Rhinolophus ferrumequinum: one gene and its partner. The protein of the gene in region 1 interacts with the protein of each later gene in a pairwise test. Links are inferred from orthologs where the notes say so. Each region holds a gene or a part of one and is shown on either strand. Other genes may lie near its edges.

The links.
Region 2: the proteins of GRAMD2B (region 1) and CD207 interact in binary tests that used the Homo sapiens proteins (3 or more experiments, as listed by UniProt). The two-hybrid records come from large-scale screens. The link is inferred for Rhinolophus ferrumequinum from reciprocal best matches to the Homo sapiens genes GRAMD2B and CD207.

The regions. Positions count from the first base shown.
Region 1 is NC_046290.1:87,166,628-87,177,674, reverse strand, and holds the start of GRAMD2B (GRAM domain-containing protein 2B), read right to left. Parts: upstream 5,354-11,047; 5' UTR 5,312-5,353; coding exon 5,085-5,311; intron 1-5,084.
Region 2 is NC_046296.1:20,320,707-20,331,907, reverse strand, and holds the start of CD207 (C-type lectin domain family 4 member K), read right to left. Parts: upstream 4,262-11,201; 5' UTR 4,245-4,261; coding exon 4,169-4,244; intron 4,068-4,168; coding exon 3,951-4,067; intron 2,544-3,950; coding exon 2,169-2,543; intron 1,390-2,168; coding exon 1,238-1,389; intron 269-1,237; coding exon 150-268; intron 1-149. UniProt on the Homo sapiens protein: Calcium-dependent lectin displaying mannose-binding specificity. Induces the formation of Birbeck granules (BGs); is a potent regulator of membrane superimposition and zippering.

The DNA.
Region 1 (11,047 bases):
CATCTTCTGCTGGGAAAATTCCAACTCTCGCATCAAAGAGGGCTACTCCTCTGCATGTTACCTCCTTCTTTTAACATCTGCAGCCCCATTTCACTACATCCTGGTTCACGTCATTCTGTCTGTCTCCCGACAGCCACCCCTCACTCTCCTTTCCAAGGCTCTGCAGAGTTCACAGGTCCTGCCACCCGGCCTTACCTACTAAGACTAGATTTACTCTATTCACCGAAATGCTCACTGCACACTCAGGACACTAATACAATTACATATCCCTTTAAGGCAGTCCTGCTTTCTCTGGCTGCAGCCTTTTCATTTCTGCTCCTGGAGAAGGAAGCCCATATCCCAGAATTCAGCCTCCCTCCAGCTTCTAAATAGTATCTGTACAACTCCCGTGAACAGGCGCCGAGGCGGTGGGCTTCCTTTTGAAACGGGCCGTGACACGACAACGACTGTGTGGTTGGTCTCCAGGTACCAAATAACGCTCCCGTCCTTTCCCTGATAGTAGGAGAAACGGGTTTGGAGAGCCGAAGGGGAAAGAGCAGACATTTCCTCTTTCACTCCCTGGTGGCAAGTGGAAGAGGAGAGGAGCAGAAGCACTCGTTGGAGCCACTAAGTGGGGACAGAAGTGTGACTGCAGGCTGCAAGGTCACTGTTGACTAACGCCTGGAGTGGTTCCCAAATCACAGCACAGGAGCCGGAGCAGGTCTGGGCTGGTCCCAGCCGGGCCCCGTATTCTAGCTCACGGCTGCTTTATCTTTGACTTCTTTGGTCGCTCTCTTGGATCTTCCATGTGTCCCCAAAGCCCATAGCTCTCCATTCGTTACATTAGCGTCATTGGGCGACTTTCACCTGTGCCTAAAATCGAAATAGACTTCTACTCTACGAAAAATATTTTTTTTTTTTGGAAAACAAATTTATTAAAAACAATAGATCTAATGGCTAATTTGTGTAATAATTCTCCCAAAGCTAATTAGGTAATTCAATAGAAATTCCTGATTTTTGATTGCTGAATGACTAATTTATGGAACTATTAAGTCACCATAGCATTTTCCAGTCTGCATATAAAGCGTACAGAAATTCATGTTTTCCAAGACTACCCAATGTTTTTCTGTATTTTTTGGGAAATGATGATTTCTTGTGAATTTTGAATGTTGAGGTGCTGTGCTAATATGAATATCAGAGATTTTCAAATTTGGATCATCTCAGAGGAGGCTAGAAAAGTACTCAATAGTTCCAACAACCTCTTTTAAATCCTCAGTGAAAAGGGAACTCTTTTAACCTGAGAAAAGCTGATAAAATCTGAAATGTTAAAAGGATTTCCTTAAAAATCGGGAACAAAACAAGAGTGCCTACTTATACGCCACATTATAATGGAGTTGCTTGCTTGTGTCATGACATAAAAAGATTTAAAAGGAGTAAAGATCAGAAAGGTAAACCCAAAATTTTTATTATTTCAAATAATATTATTGCCTACAAAGAAAACCTTGTAGAGTCTACAGATTGATTATTAAAATTTATGAGAAGATTTAGCAAGAATTTTGAATGTAAGGTAAATTTAGAATTTTAATTACATTTCTGTATAACGTCAACAAAAGAAAATGCAATTAAAAATATATTTCTAATAGCAACAAAAGTGTGAAGTACCTACGAATAAATCTAAAGAATGATTTATGTATAATATTCTAAAACTTTATCAAAGTCATATTAAAGAAGACCTAAAAAAAATTCATGCCATGTGCATGAATAGGTATGTTTAACACCATAAAATGTCAAATTTCCTCAAATTGAGCAATAGATTCAGTGCAATTTCAATCACAAAAAATCTTTATTCCATCAGCTGATTCTAAAATTTAAATGGAAGAGCAAAGGGGCAAGAGTAGCCAATCATTTCTGAACTAGGGATGGAGTCTTGTCATATCTGATAACAAAATTTTTATTATGAAGCAATAGTCATGAAGATAGTGATATATGACAGAGCTAGCATTGCGGATTAATGGGGAAAGGGAAGACTATTCAAAAAATAATGTGAGACAATTTATTATCCATATAAAAATTAAAATGATGCCCTATTTCACACCAGAAACAAAAATAAATTCCAAATCCTTTATAGGATCCTACTTTGAAAGGAAAACATACTGTTAGAAAAAAATACGCAAGTACATTCTTATGACCTCAGAATAGGAAAGGATTTCTTAAACAAGTCCCAGAAAATACAAGTCATTAATAAAATAATTAATACATTGACAAAGTAAAAATAAGAACTTGGACATGAGAGAGAATGTGAACAGTCATATGCAGGGATAAATATTTGCAGCACATATAACTGACAAAAGATCAGTATCTGGAGTATTTTAAAAACTACCTAAAAATAAGGAAAAGATAGTAATCCCTGTCCCCCCTCTCTTGTCCCAAAAGGTCATAAGTCCATCAGCAAGTATTTTGCAGAAGAGGAAACGAAAATGACCAATAAACATGTTGGAAAGATGCTCCTCCTGTATTAATAAGGGAAATGCATATTGAAACCACATCGAGATGCCCTTTCACACCTTCCAGACTAGAAAAGTTAAAAAGTTAGAGAAAGCCCTTGTTGCTGAGGCAGTGGGACTACTGCCGTCAGTAGCATAAATGGCACAGCACTTTGGAACCTAATTTGACATAGTGAGTAAAGTACGTCATGTCCGTAATCTATGACCTAGCATTTCCTCTCTTAGGTACGTACCTTAGAGACATGGGCAAGACATAGCATTGCTCGAATAAATAAAAACTAGAAATAACCCAGAGGGCAGCCGGAATACCCGTCTAAAATGAACATCATATCATGATACTCCCTTATTCTAAATCCCCCGGTGGCTTCACATTGCAATTAGAATAGAATTCTAAACGCCTTCAACCTTGGCTTATCTTTCCGGTTTCATTGGGTGCCGCTCTCCCCAAGTTTCTTAAGACACAAGATCTTCCCCATCTTAGGGCAACATACTCCTTCCAATCATTCCATGATTGGCTCTTTTTTCATCCTCTAAATTGGCCTAAATATCACTTCCTTAGAGAGTCTTTCATTTGCCACCCCATCTAAATTAGTTCCCCCATCTCATTCTCCTTCTCAGCCCTATTTCCTATAATAACATACATTAATATCTGAATTATGTATGCATGTCTGCATGGATTCATAATTCCTTTTGCCTGTCTTTTACATTAAACTGATAGCCTTCAGGTGGGCAGGGACTAGGTCTAACTTGTTCATGACTGGATCCCCTGTGCCTTCCACATAGCCTGGCATGTAATAGTTTGTCGATAAATCTTTGTTGAATTGAATAATTGAATAAAAGCACTGCATAAATTGTATCTGTGCCTACTTGAAGTAGTTTGTTGATCTGAGAGTACATTTTACTAGCTGTAGTTCATGGAAAGGATAATGGGATACCACAACAGCCACATAATTCTTAATATTTATTTAGAAGGTAAAGGGAAGTGTTTACCTGGTCTTATTTTTGACCTCAAATAATTAACCAACACATACCTAAATGCTTCTACAAACTATTTTCAATGATTTTATGTGCAATAGATTAAACTGATCTTTCAACTAGACTAAAAGTCCTCCAATGTCCAAACCGTTTGGTGATATGAAGTGTTTGTAGGTTGGTTGTAAAACAAATTTTAAAAAAAGAAACAGATATTAATATAGAGATTTGATGTTAAATATTTAAATATGCTGGTGAAACAGGCCTGGGATCTTTTTGAAAGAGGCTTGAATTTAGGTTGATTTAGGTTTTTATTTTATTTTTATTCTATTTATTTATACTTGCTTAAATAATATGTATTATGTTATTTAAATTGTACTTTGTGCAATTAATTAATTAATTAATGCATTTTAATTTAATTTAATTTTTTCTTATTAGAGCTTGAACTCCAAGAGAAGTTTACATTATACTCTACAAAAGAGATGTTCAACGCAGACAAAGTAATTCAAGAAATACTCAAAGTTCAGCAAAATATGGAAATAATGCAAGAGTTTTACATTTTTCGATCACAGAAATTGTATTCTTGCTCAAACAGTCATAGTGCAAGTTAAGGAAATTCATTTTAATGAAGGATGGAAAAACCAAAACTATCTTTCAATGTATTAAGCAACGGTCTCTAAAACGTTAAAAACTTATTTAATTTGTACTCATAACCTGACATTCTGATGTGTGCCTGCTATGACATGAAATGGGATTTCTTTGCTTTCTATTTAATTTGTAAAAGCTCTAATTTTGAGCACTCTTTTTTGTGTAAAGGGTTTAAAATGATTAAAAAGTAAAACAAATGATTAACTTCCTGGCGATGGTGCTATAAAAGTAAACTTCAGGTGTAGAGGCCATTCCTCTATCTTCCCTTGAGACGTTTCCATGAAACGTACATTACAGTTCACATCAAAGTCGATGAGAAACTTTTTCTTGTAATTGATTTCCACTTGCACTTTGTTTCTACCTTTTGTAAGTTGCCAGGTAATTATTATGAGACGAAATCAAAAGAGTTGGTAAATGAATTTTCATTAAAATATGTACTTATCCAAGCAGTATTGATGTAGATAGGAATATTTACAGCTAAAAAGGATACGTTCTCAATCTGGGCAGTGCTGCTGTAAATCACTGTACAGTAAATCATTGAACTAGGATTATTTAAATATTTAATTTAGAAAGCCAAAAAGAGTGCTATCGTTTTAATATTTTAATAATTACTACTTTAATAATAATACAGGTAATGTTGACGCCAAAGGACTGTTTTTGGTTCAGTTACGGCTTCGCTTCCTATCCACCTGAGAGTGAGTTAGGAATTGAGCAACTGTATGGCTGGCCACTTACTCAGTACTGAAAAACCCTAAAGAAAGCACTAACAATTATTTTCCCTTAATGGTGTTAAAGTTCTGTTTGCTCAGCAGATCACATCCCTTGCAATGTACTGTCTTCAAAACCACTGGCCCGGATGCCTAGGCTGTACCTTCTCTTTCCTCTTGGCACATTGCTACCTCAGGGAGTGAGGAAGGAGCTCTTTAAGGGCTACCTGTCAGGTAGCAGAAGCCATGAGGGAGACAGACGGGATGTACCCACCTGAGAAAGACTGAGCCGGGGCTGTCGGTGGAGCTGTGCTGGGCCTCCGTGTGGGCCTTCCGGGGGCTGCCTGGAGTCTCAAACCGGAACACCGTGTCACTGGAAGGCAGCCTTTTCTTCACCATTGTGCACTTGTCGATCGCCAACTCAAGAACTAAGCTCAAAGGCTCATTTCTGAATTTCCCCAATGTGAAAATCTGCGTTCTGGCTTTGCTCAGTTCTCGCATTGCAGGAAGCTCTAGCTCTTTCTTCACATGACTGCTAAAGTAGCTGAGGCTATTTTTTTTTTCTTTTTTTTTTTTTTTTTGCTGTTAGTTAATGAGTAACATGTAAGTATGACACAGGGCAGTTTTCATCCTTCCCACATTTACTCTAAAAGAAAAATAAATGTGTTAGGGAAACTCAGCTTTCAGTTTACTAATACAACCCTGCGGATGTGGGCAGAAAAGTCTATGAAAAAGTAAAGACTTAAAACAATGAGGTGCAGAGTCTGGCAGTCCCTAAATATTAAAAGCAGAGATACGTTTTCTCATCCCCTGGGCCTGACCACCAGGGTGAAAACTGTGCATGTGCTTTATGCCTTTGTACATACAGGAAATAACCAGCCCACCTGTATGTCACGTTTGGCAAGACGCAGAGGAGCTTTAAGGCTGTGATGCTTAGTTGTTGGGACCAAGAGTTTTGGAGTTCTTATGGAAGTAATCTGTACAACGTCAAGGGAACCTGAATGTTGTGTATTTTGCTGCATTACAGGAGGCTGTGACCTGTGTCAAAACAACAACCACAACTAAGGCAAACAAATGAAAAACACCAGGAGGCGAGGGCTCCAGCCCTTGCTTGCTGGTTGGGTAACCATGGGTGATCCCAACCCTGCTGAGTTTGGTATCTGCCATGCCTTCTCACAGGATTAGAATTAGGATGAAATCATATACCAGACTATGCTGTGGAAATTTGCAAATATGCTATACATTATTGTTATTATTTAGAACCCATGTCAGCAGGAAGTTCAGAAAGGGAATTTCTGTGTGTGTTGTTCTTCGACCGCTTCATTTTCATGCGCAAGGAAAACAGGGTCCCTCTAATGTTACTCGCAGCAGTGAAACATTTGGCCCACAGGAGCTGTGCTCTCTCTCTCCTTGTTCCCCTTTTGTTTAGTCAGTGACATTGGAGAACGGCTGGCTGAAGTGAAGTACACAGATTCTGATTGTGGAAGAGAGCAAAGTTTCCTAGGAAATCAAACCTTTAGCCTTGGCCTGTTTAGCCCTTTGCTCTAGTCAGCTGATAACCAGCTCGAGACAGGTTTGTGCTGCTCTGGTGTGCAGTGTACTCGAAGCACCCTTTTGAAATTAGACAAAGTATGTCTTTCGGTGGGATTTTACTGGTGCCTGACAGGGTGACCAACTTTCCCCAGTTTGTCCGGGATTTTCCTGGTTTTAGCACTGAATACTCTGCATCCTAGGAACCCCTCAGTACTGGGCAAACCGTGACAGGTGGTCACCCTGGTTCCCAGTGCTCTCTTGCTACAATTCCGATGGTGCACCACTCCTCGCTTCCTTCCTTCTCCTTCCTTGATAGTGCAATATCTGTACTTCTCTTCTCCCCCTAATTTCTATGTTGCAGTTATGTTGGAATGACATTAAATAAGTTATAATAAAGTGTTGGATTAAACAAACTCATCACTGTACCTCATATAAATGTAACAACTTGCAAGGCAGTTCCTGCTCCTTGTAAACAAAAATGTCTAATCAGTACAGTTATTCCTAATTAATGAAACATAATATGTTACTATCTCACAGGAAGGTTTGGATTTTAACTGGGGGCAATGCTTAACTTAGAACCAAATGTCTGTAAAGGAGGAAATTCCAATGTCAGCAGCCAGTCGCTGGACATATTCTTCAATAGAGAAACTTTCTTAGTATTCAGTCAACAATATTTTGTTAGCAAGGTTCCATGCTAGCTACGGTGAGTGATACAAAGAAAAATTTAAGAAATGGGTCGTTCGTCCAATACTGCAGTTAGAAAGAGACAGTATGCACAATTGTAAAGTTAACTGACAACAAAAGAGGGAGAAATGCAGTATTTCTTGAGTCTCTGTATAACTAATGTCTTTTGAGTGTATGTAGTATCTCTGCTAGATAATTTCATAATAACATCTCATTTAGTTCTTGTCAAAAACCACATTTTTACAGATGATGAAGCTCTGTCTAAAAAGATTAAGCAAGTTGTCCATAATTAAGTGGTCATAAGACTGTGGTCATGCTAGAATTCATCATTCATTCATTCATTTATTCAACAAATGTTTATTGAACATTTACATTTAAAAGGAGGCAAGATTATTTGAGACTGGGTTGATTTAGAAAAGTCTCATGGAAAAGGTGGAGTTTGAGTGGAGCTCTGGGAGGGCAGAAAGGGAAGGGAGTGGGGCTCAGGAGCAAATAAATAGGCATGGTCAGGTGTGTGCATTGAGTGGAGAGCTTGTGTTGGGAGGTCGGGGGAGAGCTTTGATCATTTAGATGGAGGCTGAGTTATGAAGCACCCTGAATGCCAGTGGGAAGTTCAAGCTTTACCTTGTAGGTAATGGGAATAAAATGATGAAAGATGAGTTTGATGGCCATGCGGACGATACTTTGGAAGCAGAAGGAGATGAGTTGGCTCATTACGGCAGTGATCTGGTGATATGGTTATTTCATTTAGGCAGCCACTACCATCTATGGGAAGCAGCTCAGAAATAGTTGAAAGAGTATTGACTCAACTCTTATGTAAGATGTTGTGTTAATTCCGATCATAAAAAAATTATGTTAAAGATGAGATTGATGAAAATCTAGAGCAGAGGTCACAAACACAAATGCCTTCCAAGAGTTAGAAAGATAAATAAAACCACAAGATGGGGAGAGAAAGCAGCAGAGAGTGGTAGAAAAGTGCAGTGCTCATGCCCTCCCTAGGGGTATTCAAGTTTTAAACTACAGAGGCCGGTGGGAGGCACAACCTCAAGCTGTCTGAGCGCTGGATTCAGCTTTGGCTGGCCACCTGAATTTCACTTCTTGATAGGATCTGCCTATACTAGATCTTTCAAGATATGCTAGTAGTTATGTTTGGACTTTATGTTCAAAGAGGAATAAGGTTCTGATGGCACATGACCACTGGAAGCAAATGTGAATTTTATCTATTTTTAAGATAATGGCCGTTGACTGCGGTGCAGCAGTCTACATCAGCAAGCGCAGAGCTGCCACTGTTTGACCCCCTCCACTGTTTAGACATGGCCTCTGCTCAAGGCATTTCTGGCCTTTGCCACAACTTTCATTTTCATGGGTAAAAATGGAAACAAAGACCAGGCGATCAAAGGTGAACAACTGGAGTCGGACATATATTTATGTAAATATAAGAGGAGCATACCCACTGTCAAAAAAATGAATACTCTATGATGACAACTAAAATACAACTAAACTAAAGGTAGCAGAGACCTTTTATATCCTTCCACAGAAACGGAGATGAAAAGACAAAACCAAACAAGACAAAAACTGACAACTAGCAGGCAATTTTAAATAAGACCATCCATGATGGAAATATCTCATTTTTCAAATGCTCTCCAATAGGTCACAATATTATATCTTTATAAATAGAGATTGTAGAGTCTGACATAGAAAAAAGAATAACAAGTCTGGGTTCCCTCACTTGGTAAGTTCAGTTGGCACCTCTAGACATTTTTCCTCTTCTACCAACTGAAGAGATACGAGGCTGGATTTGGCCTGCTGACATGTCCTGTTTGGCCTTTGCCATATTTTATAAGTAGAAATTTCTTAAACATTTTATATAAAACATGATCATCTGACCTTGCCTAGAAATCAGATCTGGCAAGAGTATGGCAATAGTTCGCTAGTACTGAGTAATGTCTCCACGGGACGTGGCTGAACTCTGTCATTTGCCTCAGTCTGCCTGCTTTGTTTCGCTTGTTCTCATTCCCTGCATTTGACTTTCAAACCCCTGACACCTGGGGGATGTTGACAGTTTTCTCAAGCTTTAATTTTCTTTCCTTAAAGACCGCTCATTGAAGTTTTACTGTATGATGTTTTTCTTCTTCAGTGAAACAAGGTCCACAGATAGTTGCAAGACACGTGCAATGATGATAATCTTTGGTTATTATATCTAATCATTCTGAAGTCCACAAATAAGGACCTCATATGCCTACTGATGCCAGCTAGCTTCGATAAGAGGTGGGGAATTCATGCTGGGAGAGTCTCCTCCTTTTCCTGGAAGTGTGGGGATTTGATGTTGAGGCACAAAACCAAACTGAAAACACCAAATAAATAGCGCTTCAAAACCAAGCTTTTCCGAGGCATGGAATATAACCTTCCATTTATAAATAGACTAGATTTCCTCTACAGTTAGGTAACATTATAAATATTTATGCTCTAAGATTTGTCTGCTAGATTCTGCTGTGTTCAGGCTAGTATTACCAAAAATTAGCTTGTATCCTCTAAATGCCTACTACCTGCCATTTCAGCAAAGAAGCGTGCAGTCTGCTGAAGTTACCTGGAGATTCAGACCTCATCATAGGAGAGCCATATGTGGAAAACCAGGGTCTGGGTGTAATGGGAATGTATCTACATTCTTGGAGGGGGCTGTGTGGTGTCGTGGTGTAGAGTGTGGGCATGGGGTCAGGCTGCCTGGAGATGGAGGGTCGTTTCCTAATTTCCTTGCTTGTGTTACATTGGAAAGGTACCTAATCTTCCCAAGCCTCTGAAAAAATGCTAATGATAATAGTGTCTACCTCCAAAGGCCATTGTGAGGACTTGATGATAACGTAAAGTTCAATCATAAAACCTACACATATTAAGCTTCAGAAAATACCATTGATGACGAGGAAGAAACTTATGATGTGAGTCGGGTATATTTTCACTAAAGTGGAATGGAATCTTATAATTGAAAGATAGTTTCCTTTCTGAATGTGCCATTTGCATGTGGCTTGTGGGAGACCTAATCTGAAAGGGACCCAAGTGTAACAATTTGGGTGGATGGAATGTTGACATTGGTGTTAATGGCCCCGCCAAGCAGCCTGGAATATTCCAGTCTAACTAATGGACTAGATCATATCTAAAGTCCTTTCCTCTTGCCGCAAGCTCCTTTAATTCTGTGATTTCTATGACAAAGATTAGAGAGGAGGCGAATTCTTCCCCTAAAGTTGTGAGTCTTTCTCTGGCAGGACACAGAGAGACCACTGTGTTGTCCTTGACAGAAAACTAGTACTAATTGGAGCAGCTGGTGACTTGAGAAGACGTCCTGCCTCCGGAAAGATTCAGAAGTTGATCTTGCAGTTTCAGTGAAGAAGGCAATATCAGACTTAAGGCAATCTTTTTTTGTGATATAATGGAAAGAAATTTGAAGTTCTTATTCTAGTCCTGCTATTCACTTTTCACTGTGCTCAATGACATTTGCTTCAATTTATAAAATGAGTTGAGGGAGTTGATTTTAAACATTCTGTTAGTGTAAATTTCTGTCCATTGATAGATATATGTATTATTTAAACAGTGGTGTGCTCTTAAACTGGTTTTCTGGGGGCAGCGGGGGAGTTCTGATTTGTAACATTTGCCAGTTTCCAGAGTGTAGATATTCCCACCATGGCTGATTTTCAGCTACCAATGTGACGCCACTGAACATAGCTTTGGGAAGAGACGCTAGTAACTAGCTCTTTTGAGCCAGTATGACCTACGACCTGATTCCCTCACACCACTATCAACATTTAAACACCCAACTTCAGTGTTTGGTAAAACATGAATTTGGCCCCGGAGTTACCAGATTTAAATAACTGTGTTCTTTAATTTAAATAGCATTATAATCTGACATATTGCATAGTAGTTATTGTATCATCTGCCTTTGTTTGATTTTATGCAAATTGGTAATAATATGAATACCATATGATTTTAATGTATCCATAGGGATTTTTTCTTTGTATGTTTTAATTATGG
Region 2 (11,201 bases), on another chromosome or scaffold:
AGAGCTGGATTTTGGTTCAGGGCTCCTGCCATCCGTGGACAGGGAAGAATCACAAACTCTTTAGTCAGAGGAAAATATCACTCCATCCTTTGTGCCCTGGCCCTGGCCCAAAAATGTCTGGCTGGAAAGGAAAGCGCCAGATGGCTTACCTCCTACTCAGGACCTTGTCGAAGGGGGTATCATCCACCCATTTCCAGGTCCCCTCACTCCCTGCTTTGGTCAGGCCAATCCAGTGGATAAGTCCACCAGCTGTTTTGTACAGAAACTCCTGGAGGGGAGACAGAATGAACAGAGGCGCTGCCATCACTTGCCGTTGTAGCACCTGTCTGTCTGGGTCTTCACCTGTCCTCAGTGACAGCCCACAAACACACTGGGCACACTGACCTCTAAAGCCTCTTCCCGTCCCTGCCCAGAATCCCATCTTCCAATTTCTGATTTGTCTCTGCTCTGTAAAAAACAGACTCAGGGCTCAGGCCTTTCTGTCGCTCAGGAAGAAGGTGCTGGAGCACAAGAAAGATTCAGCTAAACCCCAGAGCAAGAACCCCAAGAGAATGGCCCAGATAATAATAGCTAAATTTAGTAAGTACTTAATATTTGCAACTCACTATACATTTAAATGCATTTAAATGGTTTTTTCCTCTGAAGTCTGAACTATTGTCATATGTGTTCCATCTAGGACTACTTAGAGGCAGGATTGGGACTCTAGACTCTAACACCAGAGCCCATACTCAACTGCGCTGCTAGAGCACCTCCCAGATGAAAGGCTTGTCCAATATTCTGCCTCACAAGAAGGAGACTTCTTGGGTTGTGTAATATGGTTAACGCTGTTTACAAATATTTCTGTTTTCTGGGCACACAGAAAGATTGTACCTCCCTGCCCTCTTTGAAGCTAGGAGTATTGGGTCAGTTGCTTTGCAAATGAAATGTGAGCAAAAGTGATGTTTGTTATTTCTAGGCAGAGCCAACATACAATTTTTCATGTTTCCTTTTCTTGCCTCAGCAATTATGGGAATATTCATTGAGATGAAGTCTCCTTTGGCCTAAATCCTTGAGTAAGCACAATGAGTAAAACCCCTTGTTGGCCCTTATTGCACATGTAGTGTAAGTGAGATATAACCCTTCACTGTTAGGTCACTAATATTTGGGGATTTTTGTCACCACAACATAATCTTTCCGATCCTGCCTGATACAGCTACTAATATACCCCCTTTCTAGAGCCTATAGGAACAACACTCACCTGTTCACTCTCTGAGGTCACTGAGGTCAGGTGTGAATCCCTGTATGTACAGAACTGCTCGGCACTGTACCAGGTCTTTGAGACACGAGAAAAGTAATAAAAGTTCCCCCTGAAGTACTTCCAGCCTTGAGAAACCATCTGTATAATGTCATCTGGAGAACAAGGGTGAAATGTGAACACTGGTGTTCCTCTTTTCTCTGGGTTCTGGCTAAGTGGGGGCACTGGAGTGGGATCCCACAGACAGCAGTGAACGGGGCTGGGCTCTGGGGTCCTTGGGTTCTAGTGTGGACTTGGGGACACTGTCTCAGATCCTGAAAGTCGGACTGAGATTAGTAGAGTCTCTGGTCTCAGAGAGGGGAGAGTGAGAGAGGATGGATCAAGAATCTGTCTCTCGTGGCGGCCAATTAGCTCAGTTGGTCAGAGCACAGTGCTCAGAACACCAGGGTTGCTGGTTCGATCCCCGCATGGGCCAGTGTGAGCTGCGCCCTCCACAACTAGATTGAAACAACTGCTTGACTTGGAGTTGGTGGGTCCTGGGAAAACACACCTTAAAATAAATAAAAAGTTTAAAAAAAAAAAAAGAATCTGTCTGTCATGAGAGAGAAGCAATTCTCCCCTGGCCATCACAAGTGGCTGAGCCCCTGGGCTTTAGGTAAGAAACTTAATGAAAAATGGCTCAGTTTGGGCCAGGACGACTCCTAATGCCTTCATAGTCTGTGTCTTTGTGTGGGAGCCCAAGCTTATCCCTGGTTCCCTCTCTTCTGAAAAGCCCCTGAGTCCTCCCTAACCCCAATGCTGCGCCCTCTGTGCTTGCCTTTGCAGTCACGTCTGCTTGCCTCCACAAACACCAACCCAAAGGCCTCGTGCCTGAGACTGGCAAGGCCCCGTGGGCCACTGATCAGTTTTCCATGTTCTTTTCTGAGTCACTTACTTTGCTGTTTGAGCGACTTTCTGATATTCTCCAAACTGCTCTGGAGTCCCCGGACCTTCTCATTTAAAACACTGGCTTTATCCAAATCTCTCTTTAACTCTGGGATTCGGGTGTTTAAATTATCGACATCCTCCCAACTTTTTGTTAATATCTGGATCCGTGCATTGGCTTCTTTCACACTAGTTTCCAACCTCCGGATATAAGAATGCACGCGACCCAGGCTAGCATTCACCATCTGGACCTGAACGCCAGCTGCTTCCACGCCGCCTCTGTTCCTCTTAATTTCAGAACTCAGGGAGCTGATGTTGGCCACACGAGCTTTCAGCAACTGCGCGTTGGTCTTTCCGTCTGACAGCGCGCTCATAAACCAGGGATCTGGATTTGAAAAAATCCAGAAGTCAGGCAAGGGGATCCCTCGGGACGGGAGTGGGGGTGTTACCAGGGTGATTCAAGGAAGAAGAGGGAAGGGAAGAGACAAGCTCCAGCTTCCCAAGGACGCAACCCAAGCTGCCGTTGCCTACCCTCCATTCATTTATAATCTCTTCATTCACCAAACATGCAAGGACGCCTCCCATGTGCCAGGAACCCTGGTAGAGTGGGGAACGCAAAGATCGATAAACACAGGCCCTCTGTCAGAGAACTTCACAGGCGAGCAGAAGCAGGGATTAAAACCCAGTCCAAAACTTTCTTTGAGTGTTCAGGGCACATTTGATAAAGGGATGCCCTCGACCACCCCCTTGTCACTCTCCCTACATCCTCCCGGGCCCCATCACTTGATTCTCAGCCCTCTCCTGCAGTGGCCATCAGCGTGGGCAGCACCACCCTTCCCACATCTGTCCACAGGCTCTCTGTGACCATGAGAGGAGCCAGCCATGCAGACTTCTAATCTGTTCTCTTCTAATCCAGAGAACACGCAAAGGGAGAATTATGAAACCATTTCACCTTTTTCCTTATCCCTCCCACTGTCACGTTCTGCTTGGGCCACAGGCTTAGTGACAGAGAGGAGACCAAACGTAAACCAAGACGACTCCAAGCAGAGGAGACTCTGCTGAGAGGCTCAAAGTCTGAGACCAAATATGTCCCGAGGCCATGAAGGCAGAAGACAGACGTTCCCTCCCTGTTTTCTGTAGACCTGGTGAGAGATGAAGGCTCTGCCAGCAGCAGATGCTATAAGCCTTGACAAAGCTGGAAGAAGAAGAAGAAAGATAAGTCACACATCCAATGAAGAAGTAGGAAGTCTCCCTTGACATGAGCCTCGCGGGAATAGGAGAATGTAAAGAGCATGAAGGGGTCCTGCTGAGGGGAGGAGCCATGGAGATGTATTGGCTTGGTCAGGCTCTCCATCTAGTCGGTTGGGACTGAGGATACAGTCGGGACTCCATCCCTCATGGGATCAGGAAATACCTCATTCACTGTTGGGGGCTGCCCTCAAGGTTCTGGATCAATGGGGTGCAGAGCTCAGAGAGGGAGGCAAAAATGACACAGGATGAAGAAATAGGTGAGCATTTCCTTGGGGCAGAGGAGTATATCTTTGAGCACAAGCATTCAAGTGCTGATCCCATTTAGGAAAATCTCCCCAGAATTGGGAAGGAAAGAGCAGCAGCTCATCTTCCTGAGGACAGGGACCCTGTGACTGCACGTGGAAAGAAGAGAAATGAGACCAATGAAAACGCCATAGGTGGGAGACACCACTGGAGAGCAGGAGAGTGAGGGTCTGGATTGGAGGGAGCTGACTGACCCTGGAGAAGCACCAAGCCCAGCTGATTCACACAGAGGACTTACAGAAGACGGCTTGCAGCAGGACAGAGGCGAGCAGGACCAGCGTCAGGAGAATTACAGCAGCACGGACTGTGCACATTTTCCTCAGAACCAGAGATGAACCCGTCTTGGGAGGAGGCTCTGTCAGAAGGAGAGAACATTTGTTGAAGGACCAGCAAGGGATGGGTGATGGGTTTGTGCGTGGAGCCCTGAGCGGGTTCTAAGCAGGGACTGGGGCTTACCTCGAGGCCAGAGGGAGATATTCTGTTTGTCCACAGTGAAGTGTGCGTCAGGGACCTCGCTCTCTGCAGTCTTCATCCTACACCTTCACCCTTGCAGCACAGATGCTTCTGGTTGGCTGCCCAGGGAACTTTATCTACAGGAAAAGGGAAGTGAGTCCCACAAGAGGTCGTCATGTATCCCAAAGTTCCCCATTCCTGCCTTAGACACCTTCTCTGGCCTGTGTCGTGCCACCGCTCAGTCCTCTCTTCCAAGGTCGGAGCTTTCAGGAAGAGGCCATTTGTCTTCTTCTCTGGAGGAGTCTGTTACATGGACACTTCAACCATCTTGTCCCAAGGCTATCCTACTTCTTTTATTCCCCTCATCCAGCATCCCTCCACCCATCCCTTTATCCCACAAATGCATACAGAGTGCCTTCTAGGTGCCAGATATGGCGCTAGGACTGGGCCACAAAGATAAATACTCACAGTCTTTGCACTCAAGCCGCTCACAGTCCAGAAGGAAAGACAGAGCCAAGCAAATCAATTACAATACAGGGTGATGATTATAACAATAAAAGAATACGCACAGTTCAAAAGAAGTAAAGAGAACGGAGAAAGGGTAAAAAGTTCCAGGTAGAGGGATTAGCATATTTAAAAGACAGCATGAGTGTCTGGCAATTGGAAGCAGTTTGGTGGTGTTGGAGTGTAAAGCGTGGGACAGGAGCCGAGTTCACGGAGCTAAAGAGGCACCTGGGGTCAGAGCATGAAGATCCTTTGGAATCATGTTAAGAAGCTAGAACTCTGGCTTATCGGTGACATGGAGGCAATAAAGGATTCCAGGCAGGAGAGATAAGGACAGGGACGTTGTAGAAAGATCGTTCTGATCATGGTGAGAAACATAGATCAGGGTGTGGAAAACCTGGAAGCAGGGAAACCAGTAAGGAAACCACTTATTGCCGAATATTCTACTTTCTGTTATTAGGGCATCTTAGATGATACAGTATCCCCTTTATGAAGTGGGACTTGGAGATGCGAAATTGAAGTGTAAGACTTGGGTTCGTCTCCCTGTTTCCTGTGCTTGTGAGCTTCTTAAAGTGGGGAGGCTCAGCAACATCAGACCAGGAACTGTTCTTTCATATGTGGGAGTTCCTCAGAGCAAAGAGGAGATGATTAGGGCTCAGTGATTTAGGGCTCACTAAGTTTCCTCCTGGGCCACTTCTCACGCTTTGAAGAAGTCTGCCAAATCTGAGAAGCCTCGTATGTAACAGATTCTAAACAACTATTTCTTGGAAGGTAGAAAAGAGAGAAGAGAAGAAAGGGGGAGGCGGGGCCAAAAAAGAAAAGGAAAGGAATTTAGTCCAGAGAATTGGATGGATGGATGGATGGATGGATGGATGGATGGATGGATGGAAGACTGATGACTGGATAGATGATGGATGGATGATCGATGAGTAGATGGATGGCTGGATGGATCGATCAATCGATCAGTTGATCAATGGATAGGTACATGAAAGATAAATGAAGGGAAGAATTGCTAGCTGATCATTTCTCAGTTTTGAAACCTACAATCTGTGGACTGGAATCTATCATCCAGAAGCTACTGCTTCTTCCCACTGTCTCCAAAAATTCTCATTCATTTTCATAGCAAAAGTATAAGGGAAGTGTGATTGACACCTTACCCAAAATGCAAAAAACACTTTGGCCATGGGACTGGAAAGTTAGCTTAGCCTTACTGAGACTAAGCCAGTAGAGCTGGATGGCAGAGCAGTGTCAGGGACTTGGGTTAGAAACTAAATGAGCAGGGCCAAGGAAGCAGCTACCTAGACTTTCAGGGGGCATTTAGGAGAATCCTACCTCCCTGCTTAGCCCAGCCTTGTCTGGCCAACCCACAGTTCCTACAGGTCTCTTGCTGTTCTGTTTCTGGCTGACGAGGCCTCAGAATGGAGCTGCTTCTCAGACTGGGTGACAGAACCCAGGGAGGACTCCACATCACACTTCCCAAGTGCTGGGAAAGAAGCTAGGTAACAAAGATGGTATCCCATTCATCCTATCTCATCTCCTCCCTACCCACATTCTGTCTATAGCTTCCAGAACGGCTGTCTGTTCTAACCTTTGACATTAGTTAATCATGCAAACTGAAGACCTCACTCTGACTCACCACCTATGTGAACGTTTATCACTATATGTACCTGTTTTCTTCAGGTTGCTCATCTAGTTGCAGAGCCTTGGTTCCCCTGGTTAGAACGTTCTGCTCCTGGACTCTCGTGCTTGATACCCAGTCTAACCCTAGTCATCTCAGCCCTTCTGTACCTGGCTCCTGGCCCTCTGTTCACAACTTATCATAGTCTAGGGCCTGTGAGTGGAAAAGAATCCAAGTTACTCAAGACCCCGTTGGGGTCTGGGTCTCTTCCTGAGGCATTTGAGAGAGAGAAGCTGCCACGTAACACAACTTGGGGGTATCTGGCCCCTTTCCTCTCTGTCAGAATGTTGACTTTTCCCAAACCTCTGCTGATTGGTAGCATGAGTCATTGATGGAAAACCCGCATGCCCTCTCATTGGTCCCAGAAAAGAATCCAGAAGTCTCACCATGCTGACGCCCACTGTGGAAGAGGGAGTGGGGTTGGGGAGCATTTATCCAAGTGATAGAAATAGAGGCCTCAGATAGATATTTTGCTGATTTCTGGGCAAAAGGCTGATCCAGCATGAGGAAGCTAAACATGAAGCAACCAGAAACCTGGGCTGTGGCCCTGTGGCATTTCAAAAACAGTGGGTATAAAAGTCCCAGCTATAAGGAGTTTCATTTCCCATTCATAAGGAAGGAGTGAGTCACATGCTGTCTTCCTATGGCCAGGCCCATCTGCAGCTGTTTACTGAGCACGAGCAACCCTCCCGTGCATCCCTCTGGGGGCTCTATCAGGCCCCTGACCTAACAGTCTTGGAGGAGAAAGGACAGAGCAGGAGACGAGTGCTTCAGGCACACTTGCCAGCCAGAAAAGTGAGCAGTTCTCCTGGACACGCAGGAGATGGCAGTTCTTCTAAACAGAGGAGGAACTGTGGACAAGATCAGGACTGACCAAAAACCAGTGCTGTAATGAGAAAAGGAAAGTCCGTGATCATTTTTCTGTTTCCCCACTAGTCACACTCCTGAGGTTCTAAGACCTTCTCTGGATAAGGGCAGAGGAAGGAAACAGTTTGGCCAACTTTCTCCCTTCTCTGGCTGGGACCCACCTTATGCTTAAAGGTGGGCCGTGGATATAATCAATGAGAGTGGAAAAGAGACCTACTTGTTAAGAAACTAGAATGGACAGAAAAATCAGGGAGAGGGAACTGGGAGACAGGAAGAATGACTATGAAGTGAGAAAGGAGCTATTAGAGCTGGTCAGGCTGGCCACAGGCCTCGGAGAGAATACAATGTGACGGGAGATTTGACCAGCAGACCCCAGATAATCGAAAGATTTCTTCCCACCCTATGGATGTGTGCTTTGGGGATAGAGGATAAGGCAGAGACACCCACAAAGGAGTGGTGGGTGGGACAACTCATTTCCCTTCCCCGAGAATGCCTGCTCTGCCCCAGGCACAAGGAGAAAGTCCGATAGACCCTGCCTGCGGAAACAGCATTCCTCTTATTGGAAAAAAAATGCTTATTTTTTTTAATTCTAGGGAGAAGGGAAGAATCTCCCAAGACTGAAAAGGAGCACAGAGACCGCAGGGAGCCTCCCCAGGTCTCCCTTGAACCTAAGAATGAGTTCCTCTTTTTTAGAACATCATGGGTAAGCAGGTTCCTCTGGAACAGTGACAATGGGTCAGAATAAGCCCTTACGTCTGGTGCCATCAGTTAAGTATTATGGTATGGATATGGTGGGCAATCTGGCTGCATGGAAGGGTCGCTGAATTTCAGGTAAAGGGAGCGGCTCTGAACTATGCAAGTCAAAGAGAGCTTGCCTGTGGTCTTAGTGAGAAAGGCAAATGCGTGTCAGAAAAGTAACAAAGGGCTCTTGGAAAAGGTATGCGTAGTTCTTTTTAAATCTTTTATTTCTTTATTATGTAAATAATGATATTCGCAGAGAAAAAAATCCAGATAAGCAAAAAGAAAAAATTACCTACTGTAACAAAAAAAAGCTATATACCAGTTCATTCTTCCTATCTCTGGGTACATATATCTCTACATCTATATCCATAGCTGTATCTAACTATAACTGTGTATATTTATATAAGTATCAAATGGGATAGCTCCTATTTATTTTCCCCATCATCCTTCCCATCCCCATTTCTGATACCAAAAATCCCCTTCTTTTAAGAAATTGTTCCCCCTTTTAAATCCCACCACTTCTTGGCTCACAGCCAACATCAGCCGTTGGAGTTCTTAACCACACCCCATCACTGACACTTAGTCTTCTGCCTCCGGCTTCCACTTTCAGGACTCTTACATTGGGCCCCACCAGATAATCCAGGATCATTTCCCTATCTTAAAATCAGCTAGTTAGCAACCTTCTTTACACTTTGCTATAGAACTTAATATACTTCCAGGTTCCGGGGATGAGGATGTGATATCTTCACAGTCATTACTCTGCCTACCACACTTCTTCACCATATTAAGTTCGGGTGGCCTTAATGGAACGATTCAGAAAGTTTGGTATATGTCCCTGGAGTTAGAGATATCAAGTCTGGTACTTGACACGTGAATGAAAAGTCTAAGGGCTTCAGTAGGTGAATGGATAAATAAACTGTGGTACATCAGGCAATAGAATATTGTTCAGCGCTAAAAAAAAAAATGAGCCATCAAGCCATGAAGAGACACGGAGGAACTTAAATGCATATTACTAAGTGAAAGAAACCATCCTGAAAAGGTTACATAATGTATGGCTCCAATTATACGATATTCTGGAAAAGGCAAAACTATGGACACACTAAAAAGATGCTTGGTTGCCAGATGTTATAGGGGAGGGAGGGATGAAAAGGTAGAGCACGGAGGAATGTTAGGGCAGTGAAACTATTCTGTATGATACCAATGATGGATACATGTCATTTTACATGTGTCCAAACCCATAGAATGTGTAACACCAATAGTGAACCCTAACGTAAGCTATGGACTTTGGCGGATGTGATGTGTCAATGTAGTTTCATCAGTTTTAACAAATGCACCCCTCTGGTGAGGATGCTGGTACTAGAGGAGGCTGAGGGCTCGGTCAGGGAGTATATGAGAACTCTTGGTACTTTCTGCTCAATTTTGCTGTGAACCTAAAGCTGTTCTAAAAAATAGTCTATTTAAAAGGAGGGGCTGTGAAATCTAAGGCAAGACACTTTCGCTCGCTACTGCCTTGGGGCAGCAGGATGGGGAAGAAAGGCAAAATTCAAAGGCAAAAATCTGCTCTTTCAGAGTTTGGTGGGGAAAAAGATGTTTGTCAATGGACCAGACTTGGGGTCCCCCTGGCAGGAAGCTATTCGTAATTGATTAAGAGGGGCTGTATCGATAAGGACCACCTGGAGGAGTGTGCAGTGAGACCACAGGAAAGCAGGGGCTGAGGTAAGCCCATAAGCAGACAGCCAGAGGAGGCATTGTCTGTGCCAAGAGAATGGCCAGTGAGAGATCCACACAATGCAGGTCTCCTAACAACCCCCAAAACACACCTAAAAAAATGAACTGGCATTTAGAACATGTTCCACCTTGACATCATGAAAACCAGATTTCAACTCTTCCAAGCAAAGAACTCCTTTCTGCCACCTGGAGCGAGGTACAGTTTGGTGTGGGGGAGGGTAGAAGTAAGGAGGAGAGCAGGGAGAAAAATGTGACAAAAAATCAGACCCTCCCTCCACCATCTCATACTTCCAAGACTGAGGCTGGGCAAGGGGAGAAATGCTAATTCAATGAAAGTCTGCACTTTTGTGATTATTTTGACTGGATTTTGGGGGAATAACAATGTGATCAGAAAAGCTGTAATACCTGCCTGAGGTTCCATCCAGGTGTAAGGAAGAACAAAAAAGGAAAGCAGGCTTGAAGGGGAAATGATGCGAAATCACACAGATGCTTGCTAACCAGTGTAGCTCATTCAGTAAACCAGTTGTAGGCTAGTTAACTTTTAGGAGTCCCCAGAGCTCTAGAGACCACAGACCCAACAGGGGACAAGAATCACAGCCTCTCTCATCCACCCCGCACCCCCAGCCGTTCTCAGGATCATACAAGATGTGAGCTCCTGTGGAGAAATGCCCGCTATAGCCTTGAACAGAGAAAAGGACAGAGGTGAAAATAAGTGATGTCTCAGCCTTTGCGGGAAAGTGATGTCATGGAATACCCAGAAGGGAATCTCCAGAATCAAACCTGGTCAGAATTAGCACTAGTTTCTCAGCAAGGAGGAAGTGAAGAACTGACCATGACAACGGTGTAATCCATAGCATGTTTGATAATTCATTCATCCATATTTCACGTTACTCTTGGGTTCCCTCCCCTAGCATTATGGGGACAAGGGTAAGGGCTGAACTTTCACCTCCACACGTAACACGTAATAATGAGTAACACACAACTTAAATAATAATCATTTAGTCCTTGACCGCATGGATACTTCTTGGCAATTAAAGTCAAGTTCCCAGTGCCTGGAATGAGTAATACCCAGCAAGTGTCCAATTCTGTCTTAATGGGACTTTTTTGTGCTCCATGTGCTATTCAAACCTATGCCCAAACCCACAAAAAAGAACAGGATCTCTGGAAACCCCAATCCTAAATAATATCTCCAATACCAAAACAGGACATTCTGTCCTCGACAAACTAAAATCATTAAGCCAGTAAATTACAAAATCCCAACATATGCCCATATTCTAATAAATCATAACACAGTTCACTTTATATACCAATGCTATATATGCTTCCCTCTAGCTTCCTTTTTCAACTTTAAGAGCAGTTTTATTTTTCCAAATACTTTCATTTTGCTCTTTTTCAGAAAGTAAATGAGATAACTGCTTTCAACTGCAATTTTATGCTTTTAGAATTGGTTTTTGTGGGCAGCCAGTTGGCTCAGGTGGTTGGAGCCCTGTGCTCATTGACACCAAGGTTGCCAGTTCA